Caenorhabditis elegans: one gene and its partners. The protein of the gene in region 1 interacts with the protein of each later gene in a pairwise test. Each region holds a gene or a part of one and is shown in the gene's direction. Other genes may lie near its edges. The genes, in order: ztf-16, flh-3, T22C8.3 and pax-3.

The links.
Region 2: the proteins of ztf-16 (region 1) and flh-3 interact in a two-hybrid assay, tested with the Caenorhabditis elegans proteins (one large-scale study listed by BioGRID).
Region 3: the proteins of ztf-16 (region 1) and T22C8.3 interact in a two-hybrid assay, tested with the Caenorhabditis elegans proteins (one large-scale study listed by BioGRID).
Region 4: the proteins of ztf-16 (region 1) and pax-3 interact in a two-hybrid assay, tested with the Caenorhabditis elegans proteins (one large-scale study listed by BioGRID).

Annotation. Positions count from the first base shown.
Region 1 is NC_003284.9:4,803,956-4,814,030, reverse strand, and holds ztf-16 (Zinc finger protein ztf-16), read left to right. Parts: upstream 1-2,490; 5' UTR 2,491-2,505; coding exon 2,506-2,578; intron 2,579-2,791; coding exon 2,792-2,847; intron 2,848-3,091; coding exon 3,092-3,236; intron 3,237-3,339; coding exon 3,340-3,431; intron 3,432-3,785; exon of another isoform or gene 3,786-3,923; intron 3,924-4,141; coding exon 4,142-4,210; intron 4,211-4,374; coding exon 4,375-4,464; intron 4,465-4,526; exon of another isoform or gene 4,527-4,667; intron 4,668-5,360; coding exon 5,361-5,585; intron 5,586-5,777; coding exon 5,778-5,957; intron 5,958-6,025; coding exon 6,026-6,151; intron 6,152-6,199; coding exon 6,200-6,403; coding exon of another isoform or gene 6,404-6,487; intron 6,488-7,154; coding exon 7,155-7,337; 3' UTR 7,338-8,033; downstream 8,034-10,075. UniProt on the Caenorhabditis elegans protein: Positively regulates the expression of ver-1 in the amphid sheath glia of amphid sensory neurons. Together with ehn-3, plays a role in somatic gonad development and is required for proper gonadal primordium assembly and somatic gonad precursor cell morphology.
Region 2 is NC_003282.8:9,267,353-9,273,709, forward strand, and holds flh-3 (FLYWCH transcription factor 3), read left to right. Parts: upstream 1-2,743; 5' UTR 2,744-2,744; coding exon 2,745-3,074; intron 3,075-3,172; coding exon 3,173-3,511; intron 3,512-3,617; coding exon 3,618-4,013; intron 4,014-4,068; coding exon 4,069-4,266; 3' UTR 4,267-4,586; downstream 4,587-6,357. UniProt on the Caenorhabditis elegans protein: Probable transcription factor. May bind to the promoters of target genes, including micro-RNA genes, in order to repress expression, and acting redundantly with flh-2.
Region 3 is NC_003280.10:8,618,595-8,624,482, reverse strand, and holds T22C8.3 (C2H2-type domain-containing protein), read left to right. Parts: upstream 1-2,499; 5' UTR 2,500-2,508; coding exon 2,509-2,653; intron 2,654-2,738; coding exon 2,739-3,083; intron 3,084-3,340; coding exon 3,341-3,552; intron 3,553-3,631; coding exon 3,632-3,823; intron 3,824-3,871; coding exon 3,872-3,937; 3' UTR 3,938-4,098; downstream 4,099-5,888. Other genes in the region: T22C8.4 (C2H2-type domain-containing protein), read left to right, coding at 991-1,264, 1,368-1,579, 1,639-1,827, 1,878-1,928.
Region 4 is NC_003280.10:10,143,713-10,153,457, forward strand, and holds pax-3 (Paired box protein 3 homolog), read left to right. Parts: upstream 1-2,857; 5' UTR 2,858-3,135; coding exon 3,136-3,177; intron 3,178-3,607; coding exon 3,608-3,705; intron 3,706-3,750; coding exon 3,751-3,847; intron 3,848-4,545; coding exon 4,546-4,729; intron 4,730-5,138; coding exon 5,139-5,213; intron 5,214-8,243; coding exon 8,244-8,533; intron 8,534-8,592; coding exon 8,593-8,733; 3' UTR 8,734-9,153; downstream 9,154-9,745. Other genes in the region: F27E5.3 (uncharacterized protein), read right to left, coding at 366-480. UniProt on the Caenorhabditis elegans protein: Transcriptional activator. Regulates the lateral/ventral epidermal cell fate decision.

The DNA of each region.
Region 1 (10,075 bases):
TTTTTTTGGTTATCATCCTAAAAAATTTCACGTCGTTTTCCAAGGTTATTGAAACATTATTGTACTTTTTGTGAATTTGGTGCTCTCATAACTCATTAAAGATCAAAACAAATTGAAAACATGAAAATTAAAATCAATTTCGGAACTAAAATCTTCGTGACACTGTAGATGTTTGACTTGATCATACGTTCAGACGAAACAACAAAACATACAGGAAGAAGACACATATGCAAGCATTCACACCTTCTCCTAACATCCTTGTCTTCTAATTTTGTAACATTTCCGAACGGACAAAAAACCACAGAGATAATGTTAGAATGATATATAATCCTTGGAAAACCACGAGATCGTCAAAATCACTTGTTCTCCCTCCAATTTTTTATCTACATTTGACGTTTTCCCAAATGTTCATCCAATTGTAATTCCACATGCCTTATCTATTGGAAGGTCATTACTATGTTCCAGACGCTCTTCTCACTGCCACAAAAAACCGGGTTTTTTTCTCCATCGTAAGGAGGAGACATAGTGCGGAGAGGGAGGAAGTCTCCCTGCTGCAGCTAGTATGGTCTGAAAAGATCCCGTCGTCTTCACTTTAACCTTGCCGACCTTCTAGGCCACCCGCAACGGCATCCCCTCTCCCCCAGTGCCTTCTCTCCAATTTTTTCATTCTCTTTCTTCCGAACGAAACGGTGTGAGTGTGTGTGTGTGTGTGGGGGTGGGCGCTGCGTTTTTCTGATGAGGTGCGCGCAGCTCGATTTTTTCTTTACATCTTGCGCCCCCGGGCGACAGATAGAGATGATGCCCGTTGCTGCCTGCCGCCACTGCCGCTGCTGCTGCCATCGACAGTTTCTTCTTCTACATCGTTTTTCTTCTTTTTTCTTCATCGTATTCCCAAAAAAGCTTGTTTGGCACCCCGCGACACACGCACTATCTCACCCCCTTTCTCTCTTCTTGTAAATGCCATTCAGAAACCGTCACCTCCTCCCCCCCTCGATCCCCGCCATCTCATTTTTTCATTGCCATCCGCGTAAAGTCGTTTTTCCGCCCTGCCACCCCCAGGTGTAATCCGCCCCATATCAGTTTGCCAGCTTTTGCACTTTTAGTTCTACCGTATCCAATGCCTGCGGTGCCCCACCCCCAGAGATTCCTTCACTCCATATTTGCTCCCCACCATTCCTCACACCCCAAATTTCTCTTCCTATCCTAGAACCTAAAACATAGAACCTAGATTTATGTATCGCAATCTTACCGTTCTCCTCCGCAAACGTAACGTCATACTAGATGCGAGTTTGCTCTCCAGTCACTTCACCCATCTCAATTACCTGTTAGCACCATCTGTCCATCTAGACCACCTTCCTGCTAGTCTCGAACTTGTAGTGGTGGTTACGCGCAATTGACAGTAATCCAGTATAGACACACAGCCATGCAATCATCAACATAATTGTGCTATAATCCACCTGGCATTACTTTGCCTTCCTTGAGATCCTGTTCTTTTTTCTCAGGTTCCTGAATCTTATTTTTGTGCTGGTTTCAGATTTTGATCATTGAAAATTTTCATTTTATAACATTTTTACCCTATCCACCCAATCCATCAAATCTCTTTTTCGTGTTTATGATGCAAATTTTGTGTAATAGTATATATGTTTTGATGTTTCGTATCTTACACACCATGTCTGGATGCGATAATTAATCCATATTAGTTCCTCCTGTTTTTTTTAATGTTCATCAACTTTTTTTTCTTATTGCTCCTCGTAAAGGTCCGTAAGATACCTACTGCCCAGCGAATACACACTTTACCACTTCTCTTACAAATATAGTAAGCACACAGTAGCTCGTCGCTATGAGTGCAAGTCAAATCCGGAGAAGCAGCTTATGGAGTACACGGGGAGGCATCGGGTTGAGATGTTTGGCCAAACCCGGAAACCGTATCTCGGTCCTTCTTCGCCTCCGCCGCCGCGAGACGACAAACAACTAGGCGAGGTCACCTAGCTGCTCTCAAAACCGTGGACCAGGCTCTCGCTAAATCAAACACACTCATAACAAGTCCAACTCGCAGTGGTTGCTAAAGAAGCTGGCTATCCATAAATTACTGCCTACTCCCCAAATTCGTATCCAGGCGCGTAACCAGTAATTTGGCGAGCCGTTGTAAATGCTTGTCAATGTGATCATACCTATGGATCCGGCTCCTCCTTTTCCCCCTCCTCCGCTTTTTTCGCTCCGATAATACATATTTTTCCAGTCACTCTTAGTATTTCCATTTTCCAATTTTCCCATATATTCCTATATCCGCCTGTTACCATTTCCTATACATTTCCTTTCTTATCTTCTGCCATCCGTAAACACACCTGATTATTGTGTGCAAGTCTCGTCGTGCCATATTCCTCGCTTTTTTCCCCTATTTTTCCTCGTTGTTCTTCTTTTTGTCGCCCATTTTCGTCTCATTACCAGATATTCCCTGTCAGGGTTTTTCATTTTGCTATGGTTATCATTTCAGTGATCTCAACAATGGATGAACTGAACGCTTGCACAGAATGCGGATTCACGACTACTGTATTTTCCGAGTTTCAAGGACATATAGGTAACCAACCTGTTCGGTGATACATGAATGCCAATTCGTTTGAAACATCCACCTACCCGCGCTTTGTCCATCTTTTTTTCATCTTAGAACGGAGACAAACCCGTAAAAATTCGGATTTGTAGCGGTTTAGTGAGCGCTTCAACCCATTAACTAACCCGCTTCTATTGCGTTTCACATTTAGCAACATTACCCCCTAATACTTTTTTTTTGCAGAGAAGCACGAAAACGAGCACAGCAGGTCTTCAAGCGGAGAAATGTCTAACTCGCAGGTATGTTATGGGAGAGTAAAATTCATCCAGAAGAGTGAGAGCGTGTGAGTGAGAGATATAGAAAAAAGGTTGCGTCATAATGCCATATTTGCCTAATTAGTGCCAGAGGTAGAGAAGATATGTGAGGGAACAACAGAACGTGGAAAAAATGAAGAGGGGAGGGATGTTGGATGTGACGTTGTAACACGTCTTCCAGACATGCCCCCTGAGACTCGTTAGAAACATTGAGACCAAGGCTTTTCAGACAATCGAGTGGGGAGATGGTATTCAGTCGTCCACGCCGTCGCCACGGTCCACGCCCCCTTCAGATCCAACGCCGAGTCCGGACTCGGATGAACATCTTGAACATCACATTTCGATAACAGAAATCACAAACACTCTCATCAAAAGTAAGTTTTCTTTGAATTGCATTTTCTTACACACTGGAATGTATTTCTATTGATGGTTAATTACCAAGTACCAATATGCAATTGTGAAACCTAAAAATTTCAGAAGAACCAGGCACCAAAGGACAAAAGACGGTTCACGTTTGCCCGCACTGTAATTTCACCACTTGTATGTCGCAACACATGAAAAGCCACTTGGTAGGTTCAAGGATTTTTACCCGTTTTCTTGAAAGCATTCTCTTGTTCTATAGGTGACGGAAGAGTGAAAGATACTTTCAGTACATTATTACGCATGTTCCCAAGGGTACAAATTAATTTTAGCATGTAAATCTGTTGATGGATATGAAAGTCTTTTCAATTTCCCTCTTTTCCACTTTTCATCAATTCCTTGTAAGGTGGGTCCTGTAAGTCAACACTCCGTGAACCTTTTCTCTTCTCCCACTCGCTCCATGCCGCTTTTCTCACAAACTACTGTTTACTTTCTATCTACTGTCCAGTTAACTGCGTCTCTCACTTGACCCTACTGTTTTTTGTTCCGACGGCCAATCCCATCACTTCCCGAACGGTCATCGGGATGAGTAGTAGTGGAGTGGTATGGGAGAAGGAGGCAGGCTCCTCATATATTGGCTTTTCTTCTTAAGGATGTTGCCTTTCATGTGAGCCGGTGTCATACTAATTGGTTAAGGCAGAATCTTCCGAGAAACCAAACCAAAAAAAACATAGATTTTCCCTTTTTCGGTTATGTAGTGACATCAAGCGGTAGAGATTGGGATGGGTGGAAGAAGATGGGAGGAAAAAGAGGCGTTTTTGGAAAAAGAAACGGGAAGACCAGATACGGGGGCAGTACAAAAAACGTGATGACCTTAGAAATCACATGACATACCAGTGAAGATTCTTGAACATTTCAGGAAGCGCATGAACGCCATCAAGGCCAAATGTACCAATGCGACATCTGTAAAATGCAGTTCAGCCAGAAGGTGAGCAATTTTTAAAACATTTTCTGAATCGGAATCTGGTTTTCAAACACTCGACAACTTTTGAATCATTTGGATTTTCCAAGTATGGTTATCGTGCTGATTGATCTTCTTCTTTGATTCCCTTTTCACTTTCTTCCTGTGGTTTATCAATGTTGCGTTTTCAGGCTAACATGCATCGTCATCGGATGCGCCACAGCGGTGTGAAGCCATACGAGTGTCGTTTTTGCAAAAAACGATTTTTCAGGAAAGATCAGGTATGCTTGTCTGGCATATTTTTTATTACCCTCCACCTCCTAGCCCCACCATTTAACGGCTGTTGCGTAAGAAGCCGCTGCCGCCTTCCGTAACTCAAAAATCGTGTTTTATCTTCAATTTACGTAATCAAATGGAAAGTGAAACTGATCTCCCGTAAGGAAAGGGAAATTGAGGGAAGAAGGAGGCGGCGGATTGCCGCCTGAAGGTCGTTTTCAATTTGGATATTTTCACTTTCCCGGAAATAAGAAGAGTCTCTTCCATGGATGGCAGGGAACTGCCGCAGTGCCCATCAACCATTTCTTCAAGCGCTCTGATGATATCTGTTTGCCCAAAACCGTTCTTGAAGGTCGACGAGCCTGAAGAAAACAGGAAAATCGGGGGGAACCAATTTGACGGTATTGGTGTCAGGTTATGCCGTCGAATATGAAAACGGTTGGCGCGTCTTTCTTCTCCGATTCTTCATACTATCCGACGACGTTGGTGAAGATGAGAAGTAAAAGACCTTGACGATAGCACGCGCATTTTCTTCGGAAGATCCTACCTCCCATCCTACCTTCTAGCATCTTCTCGATGTCTCCATATTTTTGCCGCTCTTTACTGTGTACCTTACCCCCAGGGCCAATCAGTAAAAAAAAGAAGAAATACCAACCGTCGGCGGTTTTTTTTTTGTTCTAGCTGCGTCTCTGATTGGTTCCCGAAAAGTTGAAAGCCATCACCCTCGCTCGCATCAAAAGGGGTTTTTATAATGAAAGACAAAGGTTGCGGGGCGAGGAGAAAACCAGAGAAAATTGTAAATTGTAATATTGTGTGAAAGTGAAAACCGATTTTTAGATGTTAAAAACATACCGTAGTCATGTTTTAAACATGTAACTTAAAATAAACCTATAACTTTCAGATGCAAGAGCATTCAATGACACATATCAAAACGGGTTTTGGTTTCGACTGTCCAGTATCACAATGTAACATGCAGTTTAGTCAGCACAATGCACTCCGAGCACACTTGGAAGAAACGCACACAATTTCGTCAACAAATCCCGCGTCATGTAAGCGATGTAATTTGATGTTCGCCAATTCGCGACGTCTTCTCCTTCATTTCCAGACAAGACATGACGATTCTGAGGTAAGAGATGTAACTTCAGATTACACGGAAACGTAACACATGATTAGCGAGCAGAACCTGAGCCTTATTAGGTGATGTTTTTCTCGTTCTCGGAGCTTAATTCGGTTGCCCCAAGAGACGCACTTTCCGTGGAATCTCTCTCATCATGTGATATCCTGAACGTGAACTCTTATTTCTCATTCTGATTTTCAGTCTTCTCCGAAAAAAGAAAACACGCCAAAAAGGAAGAAGCTGTCGAATGGAAATGCTTTGCCAATGGATCCTGCGAACATGAGCATAACAGAACAGTTGCAAAGAATGGTGAAATCAGAGTTTAGCCCTCCAAACACCGACACCTCCGATAACTCCACAAGTTCTGAATTCGACAAAATTGTAAGAATCTTTCTTTCGTTTCTTTTTGAATAAAAAGCATTTCCATGATTCCATGGTTTTATTTTCAGCCACCAAGCTTCCCTATGGCTAACCCAGATATTTTGTTGATGTGTCTAAACCAAATGAACCAGTTCAATGGATTCGGAGAAAACATCCCAAGACCAATGCTCAACATTCCAAATATTCCATTGCCGGTATCAATGAAACCTTCACACTTTCGCTAATTAACCTTTGCATTTCAGGCTCTTCACAACATTCCAGCAGTGGCAGCGATTGTGAAGCAGGATCAGGTGCAACTCTGGTCAGAGCAGACGTCAAGCTCTGTGAGTGTCAGTGCTCCAAGTCCGAGTGAACAGTCGCACTCGCCGCCAGCCAATGAGTCATCACTTTCGTTAACTGAAAAAGAGAAATCACCGACTCCCGAAAAAGAAGACGAGGAGAATGTGGTATGTGTTATCGCTAATAACAACTTGTTATTGAAAATGTCACCATTTTGTTTACCTTTTTTCGAAGTGCAATTAGAATTGTGAGCATCGTCAACAGAGTTTTTTTTTCCAAAAATTGGGACTTTTGATCCATTTCTTTGTTGATGCCAAAATTTGGTTTTATCAACCTTAAAAACATAGACTGATTAAATGATTGCCAATTTGTTGCAACTTTCGGAACGTTCTCATTTGAGAAAAAATCTAAAAAAAGAGATAGAAAAACCGAACATTACACCATGTATAGTTTGATGAGGAGGTTTTCAATTTCTCGTAGATGTCACAAGTTTTCTTTGAAATCTGAAGGATGATGGATTCTCTACATCACCCACCTTATCAGAACTATCAACTTTCTCTTCCGAAATTTGAATTTAAAGGAAAACTATAGGTTTTAGGTATTTTGAACATTTTGCAATGAGACTTCTCAAAAAATTTCAAAAAAAAAGAGTTAATTTTAGCTAAAAGCCCGGCCTTTGCCTTTTCCGGTTCGCAGCAGCTGATACCATTCAAAAAAAAGTTCGGACTGCTGCAGTTTTTAGCTAGAATTTGGCAGGTTTTTTCAAAAATTCAAATTTCGATTAAAAAAAACTTTTTAAAAAGTTTCTGTTAGAAACTTCATTGCAAAGCTCGTTAATTCGTGCGCTTTCTGTATATATACTCAAAACACTCATAACCGTTACTCATTTAATGGCATCTAACTCTAGAATTATTTTAGGAATGCTGTCATTGCGGAATGATGTTCTACGACAACACAATGTACCTGCTCCATAAAAGTCTTCACTCGGACGGTGATCCTTTCAAATGCGCATTGTGCGGAACTCAGTGCGGCGAGAAGTACATGTTCACTACTCATGTCATTTTTGCCGATCATAGTACTCAAGCAACGACTTCCGCCTGAATTCACCATCATCCAAGAAATATCCCCCCGATTGCCTTTCAGTTTTAGTAGTCAGTCTAGCGAATCCAAAACACCCCCATTCTTTCATCCACATTTTAATTTTTGTTTTTTTTTTCGGTTTTCTTCGGTTTTTTTCGATGCATATTCACAGTCAATTCTGATTACCTCTTTATTTGTCACTTTCTTTCTTCATAACAGGGAAACAACGAATGATTCTGCTTCTTCTCATTGATTCTCAACAGCTCTTTGTCTCTATCAAAAGTATTTGCCCCGTGTTTTTGTCTATTTCTCATCAATATTAAACCATCAAATATCATTATTTACATTTTTAAAAACTTTCTTCATCTTCTCCTGATTCTGCTCTCTATCTTGTTTCAATTCATTTGCACACGTGTCAAAAGTCATTTTGGACCCGTTAATTTTTTCCGTAACCTTGCATTGTTAGGTTTTTGTTGTTAGTGTTTTATTTTCCTTTCTCACCACCACCCCTCATCAAAATTTGTACAATTTCAATGATTTCTTCGAATGTATTTTAAACTAGTGAACTTCAACTGATATTCAGAATTTTTGAAGGCCTCCTTATCTGTTCCACCCATCCCAAACATTTCTTTCCGATTAGAATAGTAATTTTATCAAGCTTTCTCTCTGTCCCACTGTCCCATCAATTTTCTTCCCATTTCAAAATAAATTTTGTTGAAAACATACTGGAGAATAGAATACTAGAAAAAAGTCATGGTGGCTAGGAAAACGGCTAAATGGATTGGCAGGCAGTCTGTGATTGACATTGGCCCAGCGTATATGGTTATGAGTCGTGTGCTGCTCACTACGGACAATCCGGTTCAGTTGGGCAGTGTCCCACGGGGACTTGCCAAGAACCCAATGCATCAACATTGTGCTCTGCAGGACCAACAATAGTGGCTCTCTTTCTCATATTTTTGTCAAGATTAGCGACTACTAGATCAGTTTTATTTATAGCCATTTGTAAGGACATTTGAACTATTTATGGGTTGTTGTTTTATTTCAAACTGCATCTATATTTGTTAGCAGATTGATAAAAAGTAGAACTATCACAACACAAATTGCAGGTGCCTTTCGTCAGTTATCTGACAGAACATGATTGAGAAACACGGTTGGCGAAGTTTCCAGTTTTTGCCATATTTTTTTTACAATTTCGCATTAAACCTAAAAATTCATGTTTATTCACATAATTTGATGAATGAAAAATTAGCTTGCTGGATTCTGAAATTTTGCAATTTTTTCCTCACAATTTTATGCACAAAAAATTTTCAAAAAATTTTGTTGAATATATTTTTTGAACTATAAACAAATGTTACATTTTTACATTTTATGAATTTTAAAAATTCAGAAAACAATAAAAACAAAAATTCCGGTGCTTTTTAAAATATCGTTTTATGAATATTCAGTTTGATAATTTCCAGGAATTACTATTTTTTTTAATTAAATTTTTTAATCTCAAAGACGGAAGTGTAAAAAATTGTTTTAAAATTTTCCAAAGTTTGCTTTTTTTTTTCAATTTTTTCAATTTTTTCCAAAAAAAAACAATAGGAAAACAATCTTCGACAAATAAAAAAACAATCTTCGACGGAAATTCCCAGAAAGAACAGAAACTTGAAAATAGAACAATTTGAAAATCATAAAACTTTTTTTTTTTGATTATACATTACTTCACTTTTAAGTTTTAACGTTACATTCCTTTTTCAAAGTTTGAGCTTCAATTGACAAACTGCACTTGCTGAATCTCATTTTCCCGCAATGTTTCAACGCCGTTGTTCAGTTTTCCATACATTTCAATTAATGTCCTTTGTGCTGACATCCCGCTGTGACACAGTAACTAATCGCGTTGAAATATGTGACTTGAACAGTTTGCAATAATTTTAATTTTTTTTCGCTACGTTTTTCTAGTTGCTTTCCACATTCTCTTAACAGTTTGCTAGAGAAAAAAAATCAGTTTGCGGGAGAAGAACTGCTTCCGAAGAACAACTTTCTGATAAATGCGTTTTTGTTAGACAACCAACAAAATGTATTCGTGGAAGAGCACATTTTTCACTGCCAGTTCATGAGGTTCTCGTTTCCCTCAATATACAGAGATAGATAGGAGTATAATTACAATTATCGTAAATCATGATAAGAATCAAGGTAACACTCTGCGCATGATTGCTCGAGTCTTCAGTCTTCAGTCTGTACGTTACGTAACTGACCAAACACTGATTATCGTTACGCAAATTTGTCAACTTCATTTCTTTCCTTGACCTCTAATCTGTTGTAATCTCAGTTGTTGATTATGAGATAATCTTAATTAAACAAGTAAGCTACAAAAACTCATCTTATTCTAATCGAATAGTGAAAGTTTTTGACTGAACAAAACAATATTGATGATTTGGAGTAGTCGAGGAGACAGGAAGATTGAACGATGGTTTTTAACACAGCCAGATGATAGACACGGTGCTCTGATTGAGAGCATTCTTTGCACAAAACAACAATCATCCCCCCTTTTCGCAGCTGACCCGTCTGCCAGCTCGTTCTCTCGCTTCGTTTCTTCGAGTGCAGCTCGTTTCCGCAACATAAAATTTATGACGATCGTTTAGCTGATTCACGATGCGCTAACATTTGTCTCAATATTCTTAATTAATTGGTCGCTTTTTGAAACGTTGGTTTTCGTTCGAAAAAGTTTGTATATATTAAATTTTTCAAACAACTCACTTTTTGCGGGTATTCTC
Region 2 (6,357 bases), on another chromosome or scaffold:
CTTCAAATAATATGATGTGGGTAGACAAACTTTATCATTTTGTTTTGACAACAGTTAATTCAAAAAGGAAATGTTTAACTGAAAGTAATCTTGATGTAAAAAGAGTTGACTTTCAAAAAGTAAATGTTCAATTCAATATTTATAGCGATTTTTAAGATTTCAAAGTGCCTTCATGATGCTGCTAGATGAATCAAAAACTTCATGATGTTTACTCTGTACTCAAAATAATTTATATCATCAGGTTTTTTACATCTTGCTGATCAATCACCATTTCCAGCTCTATTCTTCCAACGACCATTAACTAGAGAGCACATGCCAAAGAGAGGTACCAGATTATGCATACCATGTTCCCGTCTTCTTGAACCTTCACTAGATGGTTCAATAGTATAGGAGAAAGAGAGACGAAGACATCGAGAAAGTGTGAAAAAACGAGGCAGAGTGCGCCCGGGAGACGTCGATTGGGGGGAATGGTGGAAGGGTGAAGGAAAAGGGAAGAATATGAGACGATAGAGAGAAACGGGGGCACTGACGTAATTTGGAATGTATTGAGAGTTGGGGCTGACCTGGAATATTGAAAAGAGGGATCATAGCGAAGAAAGGGGTCGGATGACTTGGGAAAAAGCCAATTTTTAGAATTTGTTTCCGGTAGAATACAGGATCTCCATTAATTATAGATTTTCTCCAGTGTTTAATAAATATTCACAGTATTTTCCAAGAAGTTGTAAATAATTAAATACGTTTAAATTAAAGTCGAGCATTGAAAAAACAATAGTTTGATGACTAAATCAGTTTTGGTGGAAGACTTCGCAACCAAAGCAAAAGTTTTACAGAGGTTATAGTGGTAATTTTTATCTTAAATTTTAGTTAAATTATCTCTATCCTGAATGGTCTCATAGCATCATATTTCCATAATTTATAGCCACCCTGTATGTCGACTCTATGCTTCCAACCCCGAAATCATCTGCAATTAATCACTTTATATTTTCCACCAATCGAAGAAATTGTGAATTTATCGTCGCCCTCTTCTCAATTAAGATCTATTGTCTTTCAATCAATCATAGAGCACATCGCCTCCCTTCTCACATGCCCCACCATTCCATTTTGTTGCACACAGTTTCATTCTGTTGTCTAAAACTGTTGTCATCTGCCTGATGGTCGGGGGTCCCGTCTCATTTTTTAGTGTCCCGTGCAAATAAATGTGTATGTTTTGCCAAATGTTTTGAGAGGTTTAGAGCGATAATACGCAACAGTTTGGCGGCTCTTTTTATGAATTTGATGGTCTCTAGGTCTTACAGTAGATCTATTGAACCACTCGGATTATTGTGCTTTGAAAATCAAAATTGGAATTTCACATATTTCGACGGGTTTATGTGTTAGACTACTTTTTATCTCAAAGCAACCAAAAGCTGGTACAGTAACCTGAAATTTTTATTCGTTGCTTACCAACCGATTCCGAATTTCTCTCTTGCAGAATTATCGCATATTGTCACTTCTGCTCGAATCAGTTTATTTCCTATCTAGAATGACCTCACCAACTCCTTCTTCCAAATATAGGTTATTCTTCCCGGTTCTATCTATCTCTCCCTGTCTCCTCTCTTGTAGCCAAAGCGAACCGTCGAAAACGCAGCCTGTTCCTCTTTTCCTCGACAGCGTCCTCTTCATCAAAAGAGCCTGTGAATCGGCGAGACGTAGACAATCAGAGAGGGAGCCAAAAAGACGGGAGGACCCCTCCCGCGCGCGCTTGTCTGCGCACGGACCAGTTCACCCCTGCCAATGGTGTTGCAGTGGTGTGCTCACTCCCCCTCCACACATACATCACAGCGTTCTCTTTCTTCTCCAGTCTCGTCGCCCCGTTTTTTGGGTGGTCCGTTCTTGTGGGCGTGTGTGTGTATGTGTGTATGAGAGTAGGATAGTGCTTGGCGTCCCGGCCATCGAATCGATATTTTTGTATTAGCAGTGCGATTTTAACTTTGACAACATTCCCATCTAGGGGCTCCCACGTCGCTCCCAATTTTAACCACTTTTCTAGTTTAGCTCGTAACTTTGAAAACTCTTTAATTAATTTTAAACTTTGTATTGAATATAAATATGCTATTTCTTCCCGTTGCAATTTGATATATTAATCCTCTAAACTTGGGAACCCGGCAGGTTACACATGATCCTCGAACGTTTTTTCTGGTTCCTATTCATTAATTCATCTAATACAAAACTATAATAGCAGACAGCTGCTGTCTATTTCTAAACTCAGTGGATCATTGTTTGTTCCTCAGTGTCTGCCTCGCGCGCCGATCTTCCGATCCATCTCTCGCACATGCACCACTTTTTCGTTGGCTGTGGTCCCTACAGATGTGTGACTGTCTTTGTATTGAATGCTTCGGAGACGACTGAATCTTCGTATTGAATCTTCGTTTAATCAGCTCACTGTTTTTTAATACATGTTCATCCCTCTCTAATTCTTCATACATCTTCCATTCCCATTATTTTCATCTACCGTATTTCCTCATTTTTGAAGATCTATGAACGTTTCTGTGCAAAATTGGGTAGATAACTCTCAGGTCACACTATCTATTTTTCTAGAATTTTTTTGTTGTTTTTTTTGTTTTTTGTTTTTTTTCTGAAGGTCACTTATAAGTCTTGTGATCTACGCACATTTTTCAAAAAAAAACTAACAGTGCAGGCTGTAATCTCTAAGTTTAAGTTCTTTTATTTTCTACTTCTTTACATTTATGTTCTAACTTTTCAGAATGAACCTTGCGTCTCAAATTTCTCAAGCAAAAACAGGAAATGCAACTATGGAATGGGCAAAGAACTACGTATCAAAATTGAACGATGGTCAACTGGCTCTTTTGCAGAAAATGTACGCAGATCACCAAGCAAAACTGAAAGCTTCAGAAGATGAAAAAAAGAAGAAAGAAATGGAAGAACTGAAAATGAAAGCACAGCAACAGGCGATCCTTGACTCACTTACACAACAAATTCCCATCATGGTTGATGTCCTCCGATCTTCGACTTCTCCAGATTCACAGCCAAGCAGTAGTAGCAGTGTTATGAGCAGTACCGATGAAGACCAAATTGTAAGTTTTCACTTAAACTTCAATTTTTTGAATTTATAAAGTGTAATATTTTTGTTTAAAATTTATCGTTTCTAATCTTTATTCATTTCAATTTACAGACAGTGAAAGACGTGCTAATCGGAAAAATCAACAAGGCTCAGAGACAATCTTCACCGAACAGCTCGAAGCCGTACACTCCACGTGGAATTCGTGAACGTGTACTTTTTGATGAACATCTCTACGTGTTCGACAAGTGCTCATATGATAGCAAGAAGAGATTCTTCAGATGTGAACGAAAGAATACTTGTCCAGCACGTATTCATACACCATTTGATGCTGAACGAGTCATTCATAAAGTACAAGTTCACAATCATCCACCACCAACTACTTTTGATCTTGCACATTACAATATTGATTATGGAAAAGTCAAATCAGGACACATCTTATCTCTCAATGGGGTTAGTTTTATTTTTTATTTCTAGTTTCATTAGAGTCGGACCATCCTAAGGCTGTTTTTTAGAGTTGGAATCATAATTATCTTTATCAAAATGTTTAACTTTTCAGCCTCAACAAACCAAGAACCTATTGCCACCATCACTTCTCACTCCAAAATCTGATTTGGAAGATGAAACTCTTTCTACAAAAACTGAACAAAAGAATGCTTCAACAATGAATATTCTTCTAAGTATGACAAATAATTGCGATGGACGTAAACCAATCACACTTCGACTTCCTGATCTTTTTAACAAGATCTCAGAAATGGAAATACACGATATGGAGATGACGTTGACAAAGTTTTTGTTGGAGAACAGAGAATTGAGAACTGATTTGATTAGCAGAAATGGAGATCTTCCAGTATTCTTTCCAAATGCACACAATGATGAACTAGTTCTCTTTGTGGCTGATCAACATGAAAATGATTCAGTATTTCAAATGATTCGAGTTTCTGAAAGGAATGAGGTAAGTAAAACAGTGAACCTTCGATTTGAACAGTACAGAAATCGGAATTTTTCAGAAATCAATTCGTCAAGCAATTCAAGAACACCTTCAAAAAGTATCCAATCGTTCACTAATGATGAATATTTCATCCAAAATCAATGTTCCCCTATCACAGCAAATGATCGATCAATGGAGAACCGAGGAATTTATTCGATTAGATTCCTCAAAACCAAACTTTTGGAAAATCCATCATGTTTCCAAACTTCAAGATTAAATTAACTATGTTTTTGTTTATTTTTATTATCAAGTTCATATTCAATGTACTTCCGATTGCTAGTTATTTGTACTAAAGAGCGCATATTGCCCTCAAATATTTCATTCCCGACCCACTTTCATTTTATCGGGTGCTCCATTCCAAACTTTCATCGATTCGAAATTTGTATTTCACGAGTTTTAAATTATTTTCCAAATGATCTCTTTTCATTGTATCGCCAATCTTCCTCCTCTTCTTGTTTGGTTGTCATTTTTCCCTTCATCTCTCTAACTTATAAACTAACCAAATACGGAGTTATTTTATAAATATCAGTATTGAAAAAGTTCAATTGAGAAATCATAAAGAGATTTCCTCGCCTCGCCGTTCGGCTGAAACGCCCTGGCAAACTTTGACATCTTGTTAAAGGTGGACTACGGCCTGTGGGGAAAATAATTAAAGCACATTACAGGTCCTGAATAGCAAAATATCATAATAAAACTTTTCAAAAAAAAATTTCCAGGATTTTTCAAACGTTTCATCATGACATTATACCAAATCAATGGTTTTTTGATTAATTTCCCCACAGGTAGTCCACACTTTATGAACATTTCTAGAAGCACTCCATTTTTGCAATGTACACAATCTTTAAAATAGCAATTATTCAAAGAAAAAACACAAATGGATAAGTTCAAAACTTCAATTTCCATGTATCTGTTCTAATACACAATTATACGGATAGATGTAAATAGCAAATGTTTAAGCGGCATTTTTAGTGTAAGGTTATATATACAAAATTACTATATTGCTCCAAAAGTGATCTGTCACCCGGTTAGGTTTTTGATTCCAATCAGTTTTTCACATCTAATAGTAAGCGAGTTGTACCTTTAACTACCTATTTTCAATTTTCCATCAATCTACACTCAAACGTGGTTTGTAAATTGTGTGAGAATAACGGCGCCATAGAGCATATTCACTTCTATTCTAATGCTTCCGTTGACTAGTATATGGCTTTGCTATGGAATTTTTTCGGCTTTCATAATGATTTTTATGGTAGTATTGCTCTCAGTTAACGAACAGTTCACAAATTCATTTTACCGCGTTATAACAATGGATATAATTTTGAATCTTCTCTGTTGGATAAATACTTGGCCACATTAAATGGTTTTTAGAGAAGATGGCTTAAAATTTGCTCTTGCACTTTACGAAAGCTATAACAAAAGTATTGATATGTTCTATTTTGTGCAAAATGTATTCTTCCATGTCCAGAGTGTCAGCACAATTTGTATATGTTGTCATCGACTATCAACTGCACTATTTGAGAATTCGAGTAAATTTTGGAAAAGATATTATATTTTGATTTATGTTATCATTATTATCTATTCATTTTTTGCTGTTTAACTGTTGCACCGACCTGCAATAAAGTTTGATTATGATCTGAACAAATTTTATTCTGAACGATCAACAAAGGTAAAAATTAGGTTGTTATAAAATATTTTTAAAAAATCTAACAACAGAGTAATCGACTTTAAGTTTTTGTAACTGAATATAAGAACCTATCAAAACAAATCGTCTTTCTCGTTTATCCAAAAATTTGGTCTAATCTTTAAGCGCCTGGAATTTCAGGATCAATCGGTGTCTATTATACTTTATATGCGTTGTTTTGTCGGTGGATATTTTTTGGCAATTACCATAATTGGTTTCACAACACTGTATCAAGTTAGAAAACGACTTGCATCTCAAGATAACCAATATAAAGATTTTCTTCGAAAAATGTCTTTAATCACAATTACCCATACTTTTGTTTATGCAATGGTATTGGCTTGGCAGACAGTAAGCGGGATTATACTTTATGAGAATGTTATAGAAATTCTGATGACTGTATCAGATATGGTAAGCTGTCTTTATTCTCATAGAGATACTTTGATGTTCTGATGGCTTATATATTGTTAATCTTTGATGGAAACGTGCAATCAGTAATAAAAAGTAAATTTTCTATGTTAACCATTGTTAGAGGAAGCATCTCGGACATTCAAGGGTCTTAGATCACTATTTCGTTTTTTGTGAAGCTTATTTTATGTATATGATAAATTTTTAATTGAAATAATTGAATTT
Region 3 (5,888 bases), on another chromosome or scaffold:
CTTGAGGGAAAAAAATGAGAATGGCACCTGAAATGACAGGCAAATTTCAGACTTAGATGCGGGGATCTTGTGAAAGTAGCGTTTCTCGCTAAATCTCGCCAACGAACGGTTTTTTCAAAGCAAACTAAAAACTGATACTTTGCATTGATTATCATGCCAGACGGTATTTAAGATTATTAAATGAATGACTATTAAACTGTGGGTGCTAGCAAATGTTCTGCACTAGCGATGTTGGGGCACTCCTCGGAATTTAAAAATAATTGCATCAAATCTCTGAAAATCCTTCCAACGGTGAAAAGTGAAACAGATGTTGCTAATCCGTTACCGTACTACCAAGAAAACCGAGAAGTTTCCGTCGTGCAGTATAACTATCCTTCATGGTCACTTACAGAATCGGTAAACAGCCACGGACAGGCGTAAGATTTTATGCACATCGTATTATACTTTGTAAGCTGTAATATTTTATTTTAACATAAAATTACTGTACATATTTTGCTTCCTCTATGACAGTTGCGTACCTTTCAGTATTGCACTGCTTCATCTGTTCTTTAAACTTATTAGCTTGTCATAATGTTGTCATAGACAGGCAACTTGCAATTTATATAATTATCGTTTATAATTATCAAATCTATCATTTTTACAAATTGTTCAAAACAGTTCCATTTCTATTGTTGTCTCTATTTCTCTCCCGTCTGCCAATACTATTTCACTGTCGTTGCAAGTGTTTTGTTAGTTAAAAAGGTCAGGTCATTTCCTCAATCTGTTCGCACCGTGCAGAGTATCGCACCGCAATAAACATATATCCAGAAGAAAGGAAAGATGACAGTCTTCTCTTTCTTGTTTCCCTCTACTTTTTGCTCACTTGTTGTGGTCATAGTCATCTGCTCAACATCACTCTTAACACATTGCACAACAGCTTTTTTTAAATTTTCTTTAAAATATGTCTTTATTTTGAGACATTTGCATCAAACTCCCGTTTTTCTTTCAGATATGAATACTAGCAATTCAACATCAACTTCATTTGGTAGTGATCAAATGGATATTGAAAATCACTCACCAAAGCTATCCGGTGTTGCTCCCAAAAGACGAAGAATTGATAAATCTTCAACTTCATCGGAAGCAAAGATACAAAGAATGGAAGACGCGATGAAGAAAAAATTGGAAAAGGAACAGAAAGAAAAAGCTCGATTGAAGAAACGAGAAGAGACTTTGAAGAAGAAATCTGAAACAGCTGCAGCAAAGAAGAACAAAATTGTTGGAGCTCGTAAGTTAACCAAAATAAATATGCTCAACATTCTGTAAATCACTTTATCATCCCACAATCAAAACCTTAACTGTTACCAAAATTGAACTCGAAAGGTTTTCAGCAAGCGAAGACCCGAAAATTCGAGCTCTCCAATGTGATATCTGCTTTGCATTATTTAAAAATGCTGATAAGAAAAAACGCCATGACCATTCTCATAAAGATGAGCCAGAGGTATACTGTCCAATGTGCAATGCTCCAATCAAGTATAAATACAACTTGAAGCAACATATGAACAAATGTCAACCGAGCCAGAAAGAAATGGAACAAGGCAGTGTGAGTTGAAACTTTTAAGCAAAATGTGTTATATTTTGAATTTCGAAAACTTTTTTCAGATGCTCGCCAAAGCTTACCCGGACTACTTACGTCAACTTCAAGAAGCTGCAGTTAATCCGTCTCTTCCAATGCCAACTTTGAATGGAATGCCATACAGAATGGATCGATATTCATTTGTCACTGGATTCGATATGAGTCTTGATGTTCATTTGGATGTGATGCTCCCGAAATATCCCACAGACGTTTTTGTATGTAATTTGCAGTTATACGTAACATTATGATAATAGTATTTTTTTAGTCAGAAGATGAGGACGCCTTAGACGATGTCAATTTGTTTGATGAGAAGTGATTAGATATTTGTATTCGTTATGGAATTTCATAATTGTCAATTCTTTGTTCATTTTGCCACAGCTGGTATTTCAATCTACATTTTTTCTCGTTAATAAACATCATACGGAATTATTTTTGAAAATTAATTCGAAGCATCAAACTTAAAAGTATAGCTTGGATCGGGCAAATAATTTTGGAACTTTAGCAAACTATATTCTCGTGTTACTAAACATTTTTTCCAGTGAGACTACCGCGTTCTTCTCTCTCACATACAAGACCCCCCACCCGTCCATTTCAAATTCGCTCTATTGAACTACATGTTTCAAACACCGCAAATTTGAGCTCACACAGCTGAGCTCTCATGCTTTTATCAGTTTTTTCTTCTCTCATCCAACTAAATTATCTGTTTAATTTCTCGATTTCTATTCGTTGGTTGTCATAGTGACGATCGATAATTATAATAAAGCACAAGGACTGATTATATACTCAAAAATTATGAAAAAATGCTTACATTTATACTTTGTCTTATGTACATTTTAAATTGATGATTCTTCATGAAAAGCTATGTACCAACAAACTTTGAAAATTTTGTTTCAGTCATGGCAACCACCGAACAACTGGCTAATACCACGCAAAAAGAGCCTGTTATTGATTTAGATCAAGATAGCAACATGGAAATTGCTCATAAAATACAAAACCAAACAAAAAGACTCCCAATTTCCGAACCGGCAAATAAAAATAAAAGTGAGATTTTAAAAATGTATGATTATTGCAATGCATGATTATTAATTTGTGACCTTCAATGTTTTCTTCATTTTTAAAGCTTTAGATGTCACAAGCAAGCAGAATAAAGAAACAAATAGAAAAACATTTGAAAAATCAAAAAGAATGGCAACGTCAACGATTCAAGATCGTGTTTTGAGGACTCAAAAAACTCGAAAAGACAAAGAAAGCACTACTGAAAAAGTCAATGCAATACTTAAAAAATCGGCGAAACAAATTAAAGTCCGAGAAGAGGAAGAAGGAGATGATGATTTGGAAGACGAGTTGACATTGTACCCATCTAAAAGAAAAATGATGGTAGGGTCAAAAAATCGAAAAAGGACTATAAAGCCAAATCGGGATACTATCGCAGAAGAGCAAGAAACTGACGGAGAACACGGAGTAAAGCAAAGTGAGTTATAAATAATAATATTTTTTAAAAATCTATATACATAGTCATCAAAAACTTATTCGGTTCATTTTCACACCTATTCAAAAAACAGAAATTAGCTTGCATATCAGATTTCGAGAAGAGTTTAAGTTTTGAATAGATTATAAAACAAAATATAAACGACATGTTTTTGAAATTTGGGGTAAATTGGCGCACTTCATATGTGATGAAGAATATCTCACTTTAGTTTGAAATTAGTTTAAACATCTATATTCCAGGAGCATTTGATCCAAAGCAAAGACATCGTCAATGTCCAGAATGTCTACTTCTTTTCTCAACTCCGGACAAACTGAAGCGTCATATGAAATCGCATGGAGACGTTCCAGATGTATACTGCTCACTTTGTAACACTCCTATTAAGTTTAAGTATAATTTGAGAGTGCACCTAGAGAAGTGTTATGATAAAATGAAACTCAGTCTACATGATAGTGTGAGTTTTCATATTAAATTTTAATAGTGGTAACGTCTTTACATTTTTTATTAATTTCTCATTATTTTGAAAATTTCAGATGCTCTCAAAGGTGTATCCTGATTTCGTGCGAAAACTTCAAGAAGCTGCAAAAAATCCCGTTCTCCCAATGCCAACTTTAGAAGGAATGCCATACGAATTCACTTTAAAAGGAGTTGTTGGATTCGATACGTCTTTGGATATCACTAAGGATTTAATGTTAGCAAAATATGAGCAAAAGAAACAAAGAGAGGTTAGTAACTATTAATTATTTGATTTTATTTAAAAAGTATTTTTCCAGTTAGCAGGAATTGATTCGGACGATTCGGACGAATTGGACTATTTTGATGATTTCCCAGATGAATGAGATTTTCCACGATAACGATTGCACGAATTGAAATTAATTTATTGAAAACTATACAACTTCCGCGATCTCTCACAAAATTTGCGGCTATTATATTTGTTCACTGTAATTTGTATTAATGTACATTTCATTCCATGATGAATAAATTGTTCAAAATAAGTTTAGAATATTCTAATTTCAAAACAAATATCAAGTGCAAATGGAAATTCATCTGATTGGTTTTAGCAATTGTATGTGGTGCGGTGTGAGATTTTGTTGTCGTGTGTGCATTGTTGCGTCTAAAATACCAATTTCCTGCTGGATACATCACAAAATAACCATGGCAAAGCCTATTTAATTATACTGACATTTTCTTAGTTTGAAAATATTCTGAGCAGAAAATACCAACAAAAAAACTACGAGTGCTGAAAATATTTGAAACAACGCAATTTCATATGAAACAGTTTTTTGTGAATCCTCGTGCAAATTTTACGATATTTATAAAATTATATTCATATCGAGTACTCGAGTACATATCAAGTAGATAAGTAGGCACACAGACAAAACTAAATATCTATTTGTATTTCTTATCTTTTTCTGTTCCTTCTCTCAATCGGATATTTTTCTTACTATGAAACCGTTTATCCACCTACGCAACAATTTTTGTAGCTTTGTTTTCTGAGGATTTCCTTCAAATTAACTGTGATCTAATTGATCATGCATATTTATGGCTACTGCAAACTTTATTTAGTACATGCGTGTTATCGACTATCTCATTCAATGTTTTTTAAAAAATTTTAAAAAGTTTAATTTTTTAATTTGAACTTGTTTCATTTGGACGTATTATTAAATACTATGTTTACTAGGTCTGGCGGAGTTTATGAAAACTGGTAGTGAAAAATAATCTGACAAATAAGTTCATAAATGAAACAGTTCACTGTTTTTATTTTACTTTGTTGGTCTGTTATCGGCAGTTTCAGATCTCTTCAACTTACCCTTTAGGTCCAAAATTGAAAACAATGAAAGTAAAAATGAAAAGCTAATTTACAAAGTTGCCTGTTTCAAATATAGACAAACGAAGTTAAATTTTATTATACATATGTATAAAGTACTATTTCTGATTTCTTTTTTTCATTTTTCATTCATTTCCATGCTATTAAATTTAGAATTATCTCATAATTTGGTTTTGTAGCGTATTTTAATAGAATTTTCTTGTAGTTTTTTGAATGTTTATTTGATCATTTGTTTCTGAAAAAATTTAAAAATCAGCTAATTTTTCAACGACCCATTTGATTGCCACAAGTGAAAAGACCACCTTTGAAGATAATGATCATTCTCATAAATCAATTCCAAAATGACATCATCATTTTGACACCTATTTACTCGAAACCATAGAATGTTTGTGATGGTTATGAACGCTGTGTACATAAATAAGTTTTCTCAAACACAGAAAACATATGGGAGTTTCTCAAACAATGGACAATGAGTGATCACCGATATTTGATACAAATCGACCAACTCGGCTCATATTCTCCAGGAGCGCTTCTTTTTGTTCAAAGGTTCATGTGATAGATTGTAAATTATTTATGAAAAAATCAAATATTCTTTGAATTTCATCAGAATTTTCAATTTTTGGAGTGAATTTTCTAGTAGGAGCTATGTCAGTGAGGTGAGATTTTTAAAAGGTTCATTAGATCTTCTAAACTCTGAAAACATATCTAGTTAAATCTTATACAATATTCTGAAAGCTAATTGTCATTTTACATTTTTCTATTAGTAAAAAATTTGTTCTAGATATAGCACTTTTCTCTTCAGAACTTAATATATTTTTTTCACTGTTCATCCATCATAGACTCTCTGCGAACTCAAAAAATGTATTTTATTTGCAGACTTGTTGTGTTTTGTTGATTCAAGGGATGCTTTTCTGATTTTTAGAGATCCTTTATCAATAGCCTTCAGAAATGAAAATATCAGG
Region 4 (9,745 bases), on another chromosome or scaffold:
TTTTTTCTCTGATCCTTCATCTGAACACTTACCCGAATATTTACCGCTCATCTTTCATTCGCAACTGATATGGAATTGAAATCCAAAATAAATTTCGATGGAGTTGTCAACGTGGAAATTTAATTTTAATCAGAGCAAGATATTTTGAAAAAAGGGGGAATGATTGTCACGTGTTTAAATAAAATTTCCATGTATTTTTTTTTCATCCGTAAAAATTATTAACTTATTTTTATAATTTTTAGGTTTTTTGATCTATAAATTAATGTTTGCATAGAACAATTGCCGCGCACCTCTGATTTGGTGGCATAAGTTTTGAGCAACCCACCCCTCCTAATAATACACAATTTCTCTGTGAATTTTCCCACCTTCCCGCTTCCGTTTCACCATCTGGTTCTTGTCTCGACACGCACAGGTCTGAAAAGACTGAAATCCTTCCAGACCTGCCGTCTTCCGGCTAATTACAACCAATGCCCACCACATGGCCTAAGATTACCTCGGCTCTTTTGTCGGGTGGGAGCAGGCAACAGTATATTTCCTAATCCGCAGCAATCTGCCACTTGTCGGAAGTGGTTGTACTCTCTCTTCCTTAAAGGTGTTCGATGTGACATGCGGGGATATTATCTTGTCACTTATAAAACACACTGCTAACCGTCTTCTTTTTGTCGACACTATCGAGTCTCAATTTCATTTTCCTTTGTCGATGATGTGTCAGTCGTTAATTTGCTAATTAAAGGGTGTTGATAAATTGAAGGCGTCCCTATCATTTTTCTAGTGATGGGATGCTAAAAAAAAATTGAATGTGGTGGGAAATATTGATGTTCTATTTCAATCTTTCTCTGCTGCCCAACCTATCATAGTCAATTAAGATTTTTTGCAGAACTTGAGAAGGAGACCGGTCGAAATCGAGCTGAAAGGTGTTTGGATTACTGTAGTCTTATGATGAAATACAAATAATAAGAATCCAGAACTTCGAACAATAAATGGAGACAGCTGTCAATAAGCTAAATTTTCAAGAATTTCATATTTTTAATTTGAAGTTAGTATATTTTCTAATGTTTCATTTCAAACAGTGTGTGCCTTTAAAGTGTTGTATCATCTATTTGAGAAATTACAATAATGACATAAGTATTGTAGAGTTTAATGAGACACTGTAACACGGTGGCTGGGACAAACTCTTTTCACATTTTGTCAACAAACTCCCGCACTCAGCCCATCAATTCTCCATAGATGATGCCCTTTTCAGATAGCGGAAAACCCCGCATCATCATCATCTCACACTTCTCCGGATAGATAGATAAAGATATATCCAAGTGTTACAAAGGTGTGAAGACCCCCAAAAGTTGACATCGGCGCGTGGCCCTTAATTATGACCGCATACCACTTCAAACGATACCGCCACCGTTTCTTCGTCCCCCTGATAACATGGTCCCAGATTATCAGGAAAATGGTGTAAGACAACCTTGCGCAATCCGGGAAGATGAAGAAGGAAATGATGATGTGACACGTGCCGAAAAAGAAATTGGGCCCTACTTGTTGATTGGGTAATGCACGTGTAGTTTTCAGGTGTTTTCGGTATTAAAAGGCTATTTGTATGGGGTAATAAAGGATTAATGACTAGGATTATTTCACATTATTTCACATATTTTCACGTTTTGTTTCTAACTGAAACTCACAAATAATTCTCCAATTGTGTAGTTTAGAATAGATTTATATCTTTAGACACCGTCGGTAAACAACTAAAAATACCATTATTCATCTCAATGACATAAACTTTCCCAACACGAGCCCTCCCAAACACCGACTCGCTAATTGCGAGCAATTTATTGATTGACAGTTCGCGGATGAACTTGTTTTGCACATTGTAGATCGAGATAAGACAAGTAGGTTCTTAAGTCGGGCCGACACAAAACAGATAGGTCTAAAAGAACGTCTGAAATTGAATAATCAGATAAGACAGAGTAAAGGGATACTGAAAAAAGAATAGTTATAGAAATACTTGAAAATCTGAATGAATAGAGGTGACAACTATTTTTCCAAACTTACAACTAACACTGGTCTCAAATTACAGATACATATATATGTTAGTTTTTTCAGATTTCAAATTAACCTACCCGTAGGCTGGTAGGCAAGAATGTAGTCGATCTTTGCAAAGTCATATCTTTAAATTTCTCATTGGAAATATTTGTACCGTATCCTCGAAGCACTTTTCCTCCTGACCTCTTTTGTTTGTAAAATATGTTTACACTTTTGAACACTGGAAATGAAAATGGGGAAATTGGTCATTGCCAACAAGTTACACTACTCTCGAAAGTTGTCTGTTTGTTCTATCTGTTCTTGTTTCCGTGAAATTGCAACTTTTGGAATATGTATGTTTTTGGTAATCAGAAAATTATTTTTGTGTTAGGTAAGTCCAACAAATCACATAATCGAAAAAGCAAACAAAGAAAGTAAACTTTGTCTGAAATCCATTAAGAAGCTGTTTTCAAATATTAGTAGCATGAATAATTCTAACGCTGTTTAAGCTTTTAATGGACATGAACGATTTTTAAAGTTTTGAAGTATTCGTTTCTGGTTCCAGTTTCATGTTAGAGTTACTTCTAGCTTCACCCAGAAGCACGGTGGACTGCTTAGATCTATGTAGCTATCTGCAAATATTTTGAATCTGCAAGATCCGCACGCTCCTAGATGTCCTTTTCTTCGAGACTATCCACAGGTGAATCACCATTTTGCAGGTGCTACTACCAAACATTGACCTTTCAAATCAAAACCATCGAGCACATAAATCTTCATCTCCAAAAATCCACCTCCTAGTCAGAATATCTCTGATAACAAACCCACATACCCCGCGCCAACATCTACTAGTACGTCCTTTGATGCTTACCGCCCGTGTCTTTCGCCCTTCTCTATGTCTCGCTGGTTTCGATTACCGTACTCGAGACTATGCATGCCTGTAACAGACCGCGCATGCGCATAGGTGGGCGGGATCGCCGTCCCGCCCATTCACAGTTCGACAAGGCGTGTCACCTCGAAACTACTCGCTCCTTAAGTTTTCACGCTATATACCTGATATTCACACATTCGGTATATTGGGGGCCAGCCATACGTGCTCCTGATATCCCATCCACTACTAACAAAATGACCACAGATTCTATCACATTTAATCACATTCTTGGGCAGGTAAGTCTATGGTTTCGATAAGTTGTTTTCTAGTTGTAGTGCATAAACTACTGCTCAGGTATTTTTTAATGTCTAGAAGTAGGAGATGTATCCCGGAAAAATTTGATTGAAGAAATTTTTGGAAATTCTAGATGGTTCTAGAATGTACGTTAATTTCGAATTATTTCTATACTGGCTCAGACGTTTTAAGGAGCTAAAATTAAGCTCTTGTTAATTATACAGTTTGAAGTTGTAGCCTATAGAAACTTTTGATTTATTGTTAATAGAGCTCATCAAGCATCACAAAAATTAGATAGTATCATTACTATAGTTAGCCTTAAGTTAGATTTTCATAGCATTTGAAAAGTTTTTGAAAATATGTTTTGAGTTTTCCAAGTCTCAATTTCTTCTCCTTTCTCACCGCCTCTATTGAAGCCCAAAATTAATTCAGGGTCGTGTTAACCAACTCGGTGGAGTTTTCATCAACGGTCGACCCCTTCCAATTCACGTTCGTCATGCTATCATTTCAATGGCCAAAAAGGGTATAAAGTAAGTAGTCCGAACTTCTAGAGAACACTAACAATAATCTTTTAGACCATGTCACATCAGTCGTCAACTCAAAGTATCTCATGGAGCTGTTTCGAAAATCTTGAATCGTTACGCCGAGACGGGCTCAATATCTCCGGGACAGGTCAGTGCATTTTCTGGATGATAAGATAATTTGCTAATTAGGTCATCAGGCAGGCGAATCATAACCATAAAATTTAATGTTTGCCTACACGTGCCGCGTGTCGTCGTCCTGATTCAAAAAAGTACCGTAATACTCAATTTTGGCGGGTCGCGCAGGTGCGACGCCCCGGGTGGCACTTTTCGGCATTTTTCAAAAAATGCGTCGGATGTCTGTGTTTCTGTTAAAGTAGTTGTTGTCTACTAGGTTTTTGGTTACCAAAAACATACGGTAATTACAATTCCAAAAAAAGTAAACTTTGAATTCTTGAAAATTCCATTTTGTTGGTTGCAAAACGGCAAAGAGTGTAGAACGGGGAGTGCAAATATACAAAACAATTTTTATTCATTTATAAACTTTAAAATCATCTCAAAAACAACCTGAAACTTTCCAAGAACTGATATCAAAACGTTTTCGGCAAATGACAACTTTGAAACAGTTTTTGAAATTTTTCTCGACTATTTCAATGCAAATAACTGATATTTTCAAACTGATCAAATATTTTTCTATCTATATTTCTACATTTAATTTAATAAAAAAAAGAGTTATAATCTGGGATTGGGCAGTTTTGTAGATTTGCCGAAAATATTCGTCATATTTCTTACATAAGCCTAGCGAAAGCAAATGCTTTTTAAACATAAATATCTATGAATTAATTTCAGATCGGTGGAAGTCCCCGCGCTCGACTTACAGTCCAAGCCGTCGAGAAAGAAATTCTGATCGCATGTGATGAGAATCCACAAATGAGCGCTGCAGAGCTCCGAGATTGGCTTATTCACAAAGACATTTGCACAAAAGGAAATGCTCCAACAGTACCTGCGATAAAAAGGCTTATTGGGAATAAAGGTATAATAATGATGAAAACTGTGAAGGCAAAAAAAAGGTAGAGGAATAGATGAAAAACAAACAGAAATTCGTTTCGTTTGATGAATGTTCCGCTTCTGATAGCTGTGGTTGTGTTTGTTTAACTGTTGACAACGATTTTTTTTGTTTCGAATACTTTCATGGAAACTTGCTTGGGCGTCATTTTTTGATGCGTGATTTTCCACAAAAATTCAACAAACCTCACAAGAAGAACTTCTAGACATATTCGATCAAATTATCACTTTCTATAACCTCATCAATCATTTCTTCACGCCAATCATATCATCTTTTTTGCTGCACTTTTTCATCATATCTTCCTTATCACTTTTTTTTGTTTTAATTTCCTTATCAATATTTATCTTCACACAAATCACCACATACTTTTTTGCAGGCGTCGGGGTTCCGAAGAAAATGGAACGAAAACGGCTGAGCTACAGTATCGACAGCATTCTGGGAATTTCAATTGGTAAGTGGTCTAATTGGAATAGTCTTGATTTCACACATTTATAATTTCGTTCCGTTTGTCTCATGTCCTCCAACACCTTTTTTGGGTGTCGGATTTCCTGTTCAATCAGGCAACATTCCGTTCTTTCAATTCAATTTTCTTCTGCCATATAGTAACACACAAACAGACGTAGCATGAAAGTTTTCATTCCTCCCAATATTCCCAAAGGGGCCAGAGGGCATACTGTATATTGGACTTCTTTGATATAATAACGGTCATTAACACTTTGATTAGTATCGCCTGTATGTCGCTGTGTATGTTAACGGTGTGATAAGACGATAAAGGCGAAGACGTTGAAGAAGTGGGGGCGGAAAGGACAAGAAGCGTCGGTGAAGAATGATGTGAATTAGACAAGGGGGCACGCGTCAGGGGTTGATTTTAATCAACAAGACCATCGTATTTGTTTGTGAGTTGCATGCTGTGCGCCGCCACGGAGATCTTCAGGGAGAGAACCATGACTGATTGAATTACGGGTTACGGTAGTGTACCGCATTTTGTTTCTCCTGATCTGCAACAAGCGTACCGGAATGTCCCGCGTGTCTTCAGGCCTACCTGTTAGCTTGCCTACTGCCTATTCGTCTACATCTTGGTGTGAAGTCTAGGGTCTGATGTTGCATTGTGAAGCCTATAGGTAGGTCGCCTTGATGTCCGGTAAGCAGGCACTTTTGATCCTAAAATCTTGTTTGATCTGTGCTCAGTTGTTAATCACATTCGGTAGGGTACGGTAGTTGTGCAAGAAAATCGTAATCTAAAGAAAGAGCATGTCAAATTCCAGGCATCATACGCCTACCTTGTAGGCACGCAGGCAGGCATTTTTATCATGTTCGGCACTCCAAACAGTTTCATTAAATCTTTGTCTGAAAATTCAAGTTTAACAACAGCTTTGAGACTGTTTATATAGAACGAATAAAAGTGAAATTTTTGGTTTTTAAAACTTCCAAAACTTTTAGCCTACTTTTTATAAGAAACTAGACAGCCACAAACTTATGTTTTTGCAAGTTACTTGAATTTCTAGGGGTCATGCCACTACCTCCTGCTGTTTCAACTTCTTGTCTTCCAAAACTTTCAACACTTCCCCTCTCTTCCTGTCCCGTTTTTTCCCGCTTCCTAACTTGTCGTCAATCTTGTCATTCCTTAAATTGTGAACCACCGCTCAACTTCGCACATTTTCGCATACACGTAGCAATTAAGATAGGGGGAGAAGATTTGCGCACTTGATAGGTGCCTATTCAAATAGGTAGGTAGGAGGAGGAGAAAACGATCCAATAAATTCCATATTTTCGCGGCCAATTGATCAGGATGGGCACACGAGTGACTGGCGCGAGAGAAGATTGGGATGCGCGAAAAAAAGCAAACACATGCATACGAACATAATACATATCCGCAATTTAACACATTAAAACTTTGACATTTGACATTTGACAATATGATTGTTAGGGATGTGGGTTACGGTATGTTGCGCAAGATCGTTAGTAGGTGTTGGTCAGCTTGCCTGGAAGGCAGGCAGGCATGACAGATCATTGTGAGCTTGTTTATTATCAAGTTTTTACCGAGTCCGAGTTACCCTCTCTCCACCACAAACCTTGAACCAAAGTTTGAACTCGGCGGTGCGGTAACGTGATTTTTCAGAAATTTCCCGAATTTGTCAGAATACTTCCATGATTTTCCACATGTCTATATTTCTATTACATTCATAAGTAACAAAAATTAATATTTTCCAAAAATAGGTAGCCGTTGAAAACACAACGCAACGACTGATATTTAGGTATCAGAGACTGGAGTGATAAAGTTCCAGGTGAAAAAAGAAATGGAAACAAAAGTTTCTTCTTCCTGGAATACGCTCAGAATACATTGCTCAATGGGAATATATTATAGCACTCCCCCGCGCCGTTCTTAATGAGCATTGGGAATTATAGAACGATATCGTTAAAAACTACAGTATGCTTAAGGGAGAATTCATTTTTGAAAATCTTACTCTACTCGGCAAGTAGCTAAAGTTTTCTGCAGACTATTACCAGAAAGAGGACTAAGTGCGGTAGAAATCTGCTTTGATTTGACAAGAACGGATGAAAAATATTAATGAGATAAAAGATCAAGTTGAGCATCCTTGAAATCGACATTCTTCAAATTAGAACATTGTATAGAAATAACCTTACCTTCCTTCCTTCCGTCACTATAAAATACTCCTGTGACAGAAACCGATTAGCGCACAGCTCATAAAACTTGGATGTGAGAAACGACGGTGATGATGGAGTGATCCGTCAAAAAATGGAACGATAAAAACAAATTAATAGGGTCCATTCCACCACATGATATCTCTTTCTCAAGTACACAAAGGTGTCAAGTCTATAAATTAGAAGAGACACCCCCCCTCCCCCACCCGCAATAGGGTCTCTCCCGATCTTTATCGATTATTTTTAGAGAAGTGTGTCTATGCGAGAGGCCTACGACATGACTGAGACCACCCACTGTGGCGCAACATTATATATAGTAATTGGGCGACTCGACTGGCAGGCCGTAGTCTTTCTCTGTTAGATACCTTACAATTGACTCATTGATTTCCGGATTTTGAGGGAAAATGCTTGATAGGCGGGGGTCTGATTTTGAATTTTTGAAATAGAACGTATGCGGAACTCAAATAATTTTCAGTCTCGAGGCAGGCGAGTCCGGAAGCCTTTCAGAAAGGCATTTCAGCATGCTCATTATTCATTAGAGCCTCCCTGGTATCAAATATATTCTAGTTGCAATAGTTACTTCAACTTTTGACGTCGCATGCTATTGAAAATGTTTGTTATTTTAATTACGCCTGGAACATTTGCCCTTTCGATTTTCAACGGATGAAAAAAATGGCAGATGAAAAATATTAGTTCCACATTTCGAAAGTCTGTATAGAGAGAGGATGTATAGAGTTTGTTAATGAAAATTCAAAAATGCATTCACGTACCCAAAAATGGTAGCTATGATAACCCCTTTCAAAAAAATAATTTTCAGACGAATGCAGCAAATCGTCATCGGATGACGAAGAGGGCTCTTCACCATCAAACGACGCATCGTCTCGTCGAAATCGTACATCATTCACTGCCGAGCAACTAGATGTTCTTGAAAATGCGTTCCGCGCAGACACTTACCCACATGCCAACGCCAGAGAGAGCATTTCCAAGGAGACAGGGCTCAGCGAAGAGAAAATTATGACGTGGTTTTCGAATCGGCGAGCAAGATGTCGGAAAAATATGCCAATGTATCAACAGTACAATGTTCAAGGTTTTGGATCATCTCCGCCGGTTAGTTAGAAATCGAAACTATATATTAGAAAACAAATTACTAAAACTTTGATTTTCAGTCCTACCCAACGCTGCTGCCTTCACCGATGATGTTCCTACCCTCCTACTCAACGAGTCCTCAATTGAATCCGTTATTCTTTCAACACATACTCCAATCAAGTCCCCCATCAAGTCAATCATCTCCGCCATCATCAAGCTAAACGCTTTGAACTTATTTCTGAACTTTCAAATAAAACCTGTGATATTTGAAAGTCGATCAGAAATTGATACACAAATTTAATTTGAAAGTCCAGAATTAATTTTAAAACATTACCTTAAGAATTCACCCATTCTTCCCAAAACTTATCTAAATCTCTTTGCCTTCCCTCTCATCAATTTGGTTTTAAATATTACGGTCATTGCACTAGTTCTTCGTGTTTTCTTCTTCTTCCCACTTGTATGAACTTGTCTGAAAATCTGTGAAAACCTTTTTCCCTATTCCAGATGACGCTATTGTTCTTGAGCATTTGTACAAGTTTTGTGTGCTCTCTCAAGCATTTGATTTCCATCATCTCATTCTCTCTCAAATTCCATATCTCATGAAGTAAAAAACACAAAAATAAATAAATATTCAGTTATTATTCCGGTCAACGATCACGAATGTTACAGAGATAACTAATAGACTTCAAATTTATTCAGAAGGCGGGGAAATTAAAGTCAATTTTTGATTTTATTACTAGAGATCACAAAATTTTAAAACCAGAGAAATATACTAAAGTTTTTGGGACTTTACGCTTGGCTTATGCGTGCGCTTTGAAATGTTATATGTAATTAATTGCAAACTCAGATTGAACTCAAACTCAGATTCAGATCGAAATTCAGGCCCACGGGCCTACCTCACAAAAAAACTTTATCAGAAGCTTGAAAGTTATCTTATTTATATTTTGTTTTCTTTTTTCTATCCATAATAATAATTTAATTTATATTCAAAACTTGATGATGTAACTACTACGCATCTAGATCATCAAATTCTACAAATTGTTTTTCAACTATAAACGGTTTTTGATGTTTGGGCGAAATAGTTTCTAATGTGCAGAGAAGATATTGAATGAAAAACAATTTCAGGGATCACCCAACGAGTAAGTGAGCAGATACGGGGAGATGCTCCAGAAGGAAGTGCAATTTTTGACCTACAAGTTGAAAGTCAACAAGATGAAACAAAAATAAGTTACG